Tribolium castaneum: one gene and its partner. The protein of the gene in region 1 interacts with the protein of each later gene in a biochemical or structural test. Links are inferred from orthologs where the notes say so. Each region holds a gene or a part of one and is shown in the gene's direction. Other genes may lie near its edges.

Region 1 (3,755 bases):
CTGGATTGGCTGAAGCCGCCTACGATGCAGCTGAAACTAACGAAGACACGGGAACTCCCGATACGTACATGTTGTCACAATACTTTGAGTATATAATTCAGCGGCTTTTGGAGACTACGGACCGTCCAGACGGCGCTCAAGCTAATCTCAGACCGGCAGCCTACGAGGCTTTGATGGAAATGGTGAAGAATTCACCGAAAGATTGCTACGTCACCGTACAAAAGACAACAATGGTGATTCTTGAACGTTTGCAACAAGTTTTACAAATGGAAACACACATTACGAGCCACAATGATAGGTCACAGTTTAATGATCTCCAGTCGTTGTTGTGCGGAACACTTCAGTCGGTTTTGAGGAAAGTTACACCAGAGGACGCGCCGCAAATATCCGACGCCATCATGACTGCTATGCTGACCATGTTCAACTCGAATTCGTGCAAAAGTGGAGGTAATTCACCAGCCAAATGCGCCTTCAAATAAAATCTTTCGCTTACACTTTACAGTGAATTGTATTAAAGATTTTAGTTTGAAGGCGTATTATAAAAAATTATAAGTACGGGAATTAAACGTTGTTTGTGTTAGGTGTACAAGAGGACGCACTGATGGCAGTGTCAACCCTGGTGGAAGTCCTCGGTGAAGGTTTCATCAAATACATGGACGCGTTCAAGCCGTTTCTTTACATCGGCCTTAAAAACCACCAAGAGTACCAAGTTTGTGGTACCGCAGTCGGTCTAACCGGTGACATTTTCCGCGCTCTCAAACTAAAAGCTCTTCCTTATTGCGACGAAATCATGACTCTTCTGCTCGAAAATCTCGGCGATCAATCGGTCCACCGTAGCGTCAAGCCACAGATTCTTTCAGTGTTCGGCGATATCGTCCTAAGTATCGGCCCCGAATTCAAAAAATACCTCGATGTTGTTCTCACAACACTAGCGCAGGCGTCGCAGGCACAAGTCGATAGAGATGATTTCGATATGGTCGATTATTTGAACGAATTACGCGAAGGTGTACTTGATGCTTACACGGGCATTGTACAGGGTTTAAAAGGCGATGGCCCGACACCTAATCCCGACGTTTTGATTCTCGAACCGCACATTCCTTTCATCGTTCAATTTATAACCGTGGTGGCACAAGACACGTTCAATTCTGATGCCACGGTTGCGGTGGCTGCCGGATTGGTGGGGGATCTCTGTACGGCTTTTGGAGCACCACTTTTACAACTCCTGGATTTGGAGCCGATCAACGAGATGTTGGCGAAAGGCAGACGAAGTGGAACTAATCGTACTAGAACTTTGGCCACTTGGGCTACGAAGGAGTTGCGCAAGTTGAAGGCTAATTCGACGGCCGCTGTAGCTAGTTGGTAAGTGGGAGTGGACAGTTTCAGCAGATCCAATTGGCAAAAAATCGTTACAAATAATATAAAACAGACATTATTAAAATTATAGCTGGGATTTTTTTAAAATTAAAATAAAGTTAGTTGTGGTGGGTCGGTTGGATCTGCTGCGTTTGAGACTTGGCGTTGGACTGTATGTGTCTCGCGAAAATCGGTGTGCTGAGCGAAGTTTGACAGTGCTTTCGATGGTTTCAGATTTTCTTTGGCATGTTGTGGTTTAACAGAAGGAAATCTAACGAAGGTGTGGTCAACGGCATCGATATTGGATTCGCATTATACATAAAACCAAAATTCTTGCAGACTTTAGTTTTCGTTTTGGCTGAGTCGGACCAGTTTTGCTCATCTCTCGGTTGAGTAAAGCTGGTCAGCTAGTTTGACATGGTATTGTTCCCCAATACTTTCGGTTTTCGGGGTGCAGAGTGAGTGCTGATGCATATGGACTCTTGATAAACTGTGAGTGCTAATCGTAGCTGTGAACGCTTGTGAATAGTGTCTGAATCTTCGCCTGGTTTCGTGAAAGGCGGTTTAGCTCAAGACTGAAGAGTGAAGTGGTGTCTCCTCTATCACTTGTTGCGTCTTTTACGTTCGTCTTCACTTTAGTGTTGTACTTGATTACAATAAAAGCATTTGTCTATTTCACATATCGAATTAATCATAAGTAGTTATTTTTATAATGGTCTTTGGTGAAGAAATTACCTATGCACTGCAGTCAGACAGAAGTAATCTTAAAATCCTGATTTATTATTGCTTCTTTGTTTCGCTGAAGTTGTGTGTAATTTCATTGCGGAAAAAAGCAAAACACGCTCTGGTGCTTCTTTAGATTTTGCGAATTTATATTAACTTTTCTCTTAAAAAGCAAAAGACTGCGATAATCAAAAACTGTCCAGAGGAGCGTGTTTCGGTTTTTCCCTGGTTGATTTTTTTGAAACAATTTCCAATTCACTGAATTCATACTCAGGAAATTTGAGAATAATAAATCTTGTGACTGGTATTTTTTATGAAAGATTTTTGTGAGGCCTGATTGTGCCTTGCGTGGGTGGTGTATGAAAATTTTCGAGTTTTTCGTATAAGTCGACACGCTGATTAAATATACGAAAGTGCTTGAAAGGGAGGGTGGGTATCGCAACAAAGTAAAAAAGAATCTGTGATTTGAGAAGGTTTCTGTAGTTGCCAAAACACGAAAAAGATACATTCAAATTCCATTAGTTTTTTAAATGCGTATAACGAAACCTTCTCAATGTTTTCGTAATTATAATTCTAGAATTATAATTATAAATTCCTTGTATGTGTGATATTTTTCCGTGGGCAATATTGAAATAAACCAATTTTTGTGTTTATTTTTATCACTAGTCCATTAAGCGACCTTCGTTGTTTTGGAAGGTACATTAGCGATGGGTTATTTTAACTATTGCCCACGTCTGGGTTCAAAGGCTGTATGAAATCACTTGTATAGTATGTAAGTAGTGTGGTTGTATATTTTGTATGTACGAAGTATGAAGAATTTTATTATGAAGTAGTGTAAGAATTTCTACTGGCCTAAATTATTTATTGAAGCTTCTAACTGTTTTATGCACACCGAGATATTTAATTTTAAAAAGCTCATTTTTATGGTTTTGTGAACCAGCCAAAGTGTGATTTTAATCCATGATCTTTTTAAAATTATTTCGAATTCTACGAATGTTCATGTGCAAAAAGGTTGCGTTACAATTAATTGGAAGGGTTTTGAGTGGAAATGTTTATGGTTGCATATTTTATTGGTTGAATGTTTTGTTTTGATTGTGCCATGTTGATTGTTAATCTGTAATCACCCCAAACGCGCCGATGTTTGACAATATGGTTTTCTGTGTGTTCTGAAGACTGAATTTATTAATTAAATAGCCTAGTAAAGCTCAAATGCCGTATGAAAGTTGACGCAAAATGCGGCTTATTCCAAACTTGGTATTGTCGAACACCGGTTACTTTTCTTCTTTTCCCTTAAAAATGTTACCATGTCTAGGGTGCCTATTGACCAATTCATCAAAATTGTATTAGATTTTAATTTTGTTAAGTTAAATTCCCTGCACGCCTTTTCAGTTAGGATATTTCACTTTTTAAATTCCCTCCCAAACGCTTGGGATCACTCCCGCAGAATTGGGATTTTTGTAGTTGTACGGATAATAAATGTTTCCTTTCTTTACACCCTGTTTTCTTTCACCCAGCCGCAGCAAAATTTCGCAAAATTCGACCAAAGGTAAGACTTTTCGAATAAATCCAGGGTTGTGTCTGTGTTCGTGTTGCATCGCCCCAACTGACTCTCACCGTAATTTATATGATTAGTGATTGATTTCAGGCAAGCGGGAAATAATCTCATAAACCTCACTCCT
Region 2 (3,667 bases), about 2.5 Mb from region 1:
GCTGGTCGGGTCAAGCAGGCTGTGCCACCTAAGAGGGCGACATCTTACGTCAAATATAATTGTCAATTCTGATAGTAGTGAAATTAGGCATGCAATGCGAAGTTAGCGACAAGCCGTAAAAAACGAAGTTCTCTATCTATCAAGGAGGCTGTGAATGACAGTGGGCGTGTTTGCAGACGACTGGTTGACAATCGGGGGTCTCCAAGCAGCCTTTCCGAGTTCGATGAACACGAGTTATTTGCGATCGAAGTTGGGTTTAAAACCACAACACATATCAAATATTTTATGTAACAACAAAATCCAAGGGCAAGTTACGGGTATTAATGGGGTGGTACAGCAAGGTTTGACCCATTTGGCCATTCCCAATGGGTGGAATTGGGGCGGACCGGCGTCTCCTTTTTGCCCCGTCTGGATGGAATTGTTTCTAAACCCCAATTCTGGGACGGCGTTGTGATATTATCTTATTTTGTATTTAATTTTATTTATTTTTGACTGGGTATACTTCACGTAAATTTTACAAATTTATGGCTGTGTGTCGGACGGTTTTATTTCTAAGCTTTAAAGACAAATATGTGGGGGCACAGATGATTTTATTTTGAAATTGTGTTTTTGTTCAGAAATTTTCAAAAAAATTAGCGGGCGAATTTTGCAATAAAGGGCCCCGATTTCGTACTCCCTGTACTGTAACAACTTAGTCTTGTATTTGTAATTATTTAATAAATATTATTTTATTAACAGTGAGTTTTATTTATCACAAGTTCGGTCCAACAAACAATCGAGTGCGTAAGCACCGCACGTGAAAAGTGTGACCTTGACATCAGCGTGCCAACTTTAAAAACTGAAAGTTTTGCCGAAATTATTGCAAATAAAGGTGTAGTGTCCATTGAAACAATAAATTTGGCTTGATTTTGAGCCTACAGTGAAAAGTTGTGGTTTTAATGTTAATAAGGTTTAGATTGTGTTAATTTTCCCGATCAGCTGTCCTTCCGTTGTGTTTGCCACCGTGCGCGCAACCTGTGCAACCGATCTTTGTAGCAAATGGGTATGAAAAAAATACCCAAATTACGTTAAATCAGTCGGTAATTTTGTGATAATCGCGTCCGAACGTTTCCCCCTTCATTTTTCATGTTATCATAACGCCAAATCGAGTCTTTTACGTTTTAAGAGCGCCACCCGGCTTTTCCTCGTGTTTTCATCAGCCCTCCATTGTCAAATCTATCAAAATGGCGGATACAGGTTACAAGAATCGCATCCAGAATTTCAAGAACAAGGGAAAAGACCAAGATGTAAGTACCCCGCCCTTCCTTGCGCCCCACCGGCTCCCTTACTCCCGAAACACCCGTCCGGTGCGCCCCTTCTGACCGCCCCGTGTGCCCCCAGGAAATGCGAAGACGGCGCAACGAGGTCACCGTGGAATTGCGCAAGAACAAGCGCGAGGAGACCCTCCAGAAGCGCCGCAATGTCCCCGTGGTGGACTCCACCGACGAGGACGACATCGAGAAGTCGCTCTCCACCACGAACTTGGAAGAACTGGTGGCGCAAGCGGCCGCTATCGACAACCCCCCGCTGCAGCTGATGGCGATCCAAACCGCGCGGAAGTTGCTGTCTTCAGACAGGAACCCCCCGATCGACGCCCTCATCTCCAGCGGGATCCTGCCGGTCCTGGTGATGTGTCTCGAACGGTATGACGAGCCCTCGTTGCAGTTTGAGGCCGCCTGGGCGCTCACGAACATCGCCTCGGGCACGTCCGCGCAGACCAACAGGGTGGTGCAAGCGGGGGCCGTGCCCCTCTTCCTGAAGCTGCTGCACTCGCCCCAGCAGAACGTCTGTGAACAGGCCGTTTGGGCCCTGGGGAATATCATCGGCGATGGGCCGCAGTTAAGAGACTATGTTATCGAGCTCGGTGTTGTTAATCCACTTCTCTCGTTCATTAAACCCGACGTTCCGATTTCGTTCTTGAGGAACGTCACCTGGGTTATTGTTAATTTGTGTAGGAACAAGGATCCCCCGCCGCCTATACAGACTATTAGGGAGTTGTTACCCGCCTTGAATGCGCTTATTCACCACACAGATACCAATGTGAGTATGTACCAGAAAAGAGTCACAAAGGTGAGCAGTCTCATACTTTGCGTTACGTGTGAAAAAAATATAAAAAAGGGAAGAAAAAAAAAAGTTCACCTTTAATGACGTCTGAGTTTTAAAAATGTTGGATTCAACGGTGCGAGATTGGTGTCAAGGTCGCAATTTATTCTTTGTCCATTTTAATGATTTGCAAAAATACGTCTTCATCATTATTTTCGGTTGTTTTGTTAGTATTGATTACGACGTAATAAACAAAACAGTACTTTGGCTCTATAAACAAATTTTACGTTGGCAGAATCATTCATAAAATTTTCATTAATTAAAAGTTCAGAAGTAGGTCAGCTATAATTGTTTTCACTTATTAGGAGGTGTGACTCAGGTTTTTGTGACTCAAACCGGGGTTGTTTATAGAATATGAAGTTAAATTAAACAAGAAATATTTTCTTTACATTTAAATTATTCTTACCGATGGTCACATAGTCACAAAAACGTTATCAAGAATCAAGAATTACGAGATATCAAGAAAGACAATTTTACAAATAAAATATTTGTTTGAGATGCTGTCAAAACATTCTGGGATAATTAACATTTATTCTCACTTGTATAGAAGGGTTCTATAAATAATTGAAAGAAAAACCCTGGTTTCAGTGTCAGTAACAGAAACTGAAAGTTTGAAATTTTTTAGACGTTGGAATTTTATTTTAAAACTTTTCCATGTCCTTCTCGTCTGAAAGTAGATTTTTAGTCTCTTTGGCGACAAATTTCAAAGGCAAAATAAGCCTTGATAATTTTCGTAGGCTTGATTCGTCAGTCCTTAGATAACATTGTCAGGAATGTTGCATAAATAATAAATAAAAAAATATGAAGACATTGGAAGCTACTTAACATAAACAATTAAAAATGGATTTTTGTTATGTGGTGTAGTGGCAGCAATAACAAACAGTGTGGTTAATTTATTTGCGGTTTGTTTTTTGTACTTTTTAATGAAACGTGAAAATATTTATGTACATAATACTATTAAGATTTTTTATTAATTATAACAGATTCCTTACCTTTGTTGTTTTATGTAATTGTGGCATGTTGGCTTTTATTTAAAAAATCATAGAATTCACGTTGTGGAAAATAAATGTGTAATCGTAAATTTTGGTAAAATACTATAAAAAATTTCAAGTTGACTTCATTTTGTGAGGCACTCTCATTTATTTTATTTTTTTGTGCAATATTATGGAGGTGATTTTTTTATTTGATTCTGAATCATTCTTTTATTTGTTTATTCTTTTGTATTTTAAAAAATACAATGCATATAAATACAAGCCGAAAAAGGAATTTTAATGACCTCACAAAAGTGCATCTTTACCGAAAAATTCTATTTGACAAATTCGCATTTTATTTAGGATAAAACATCACTGGGGAATAATATAAATGACATTAGAAACCTTGCAAAGTTCTCGTTATTTTTTTTATTTATCGATATTAAATTTTTCTGGGACACATACAAAACGATATTTGGATTTTCGGCTGTAGCATTTAAAAAAAAATTGCTCTTCCAGATTTTAGTCGACACGGTCTGGGCATTAAGTTACCT

Evidence for each region. The genes of interacting proteins can lie anywhere in the genome.
Region 2: the proteins of Fs(2)Ket (region 1) and Kap-alpha3 form a complex in vitro, tested with the Homo sapiens proteins (2 studies listed by BioGRID and IntAct, with this or other methods). The link is inferred for Tribolium castaneum from reciprocal best matches to the Homo sapiens genes KPNB1 and KPNA4.

Annotation. Positions count from the first base shown.
Region 1 is NC_087398.1:2,427,039-2,430,793, reverse strand, and holds part of Fs(2)Ket (importin subunit beta-1), read left to right. Parts: coding exon 1-447; intron 448-581; coding exon 582-1,359; intron 1,360-1,587; coding exon of another isoform or gene 1,588-1,588; exon of another isoform or gene 1,589-3,568; intron 3,569-3,721; coding exon 3,722-3,755.
Region 2 is NC_087398.1:4,899,666-4,903,332, reverse strand, and holds the start of Kap-alpha3 (importin subunit alpha-4), read left to right. Parts: upstream 1-844; 5' UTR 845-1,223; coding exon 1,224-1,286; intron 1,287-1,380; coding exon 1,381-2,079; intron 2,080-3,632; coding exon 3,633-3,667. Other genes in the region: endonuclease/exonuclease/phosphatase family domain-containing protein 1, read left to right, coding at 177-454. UniProt on the Homo sapiens protein: Functions in nuclear protein import as an adapter protein for nuclear receptor KPNB1. Binds specifically and directly to substrates containing either a simple or bipartite NLS motif.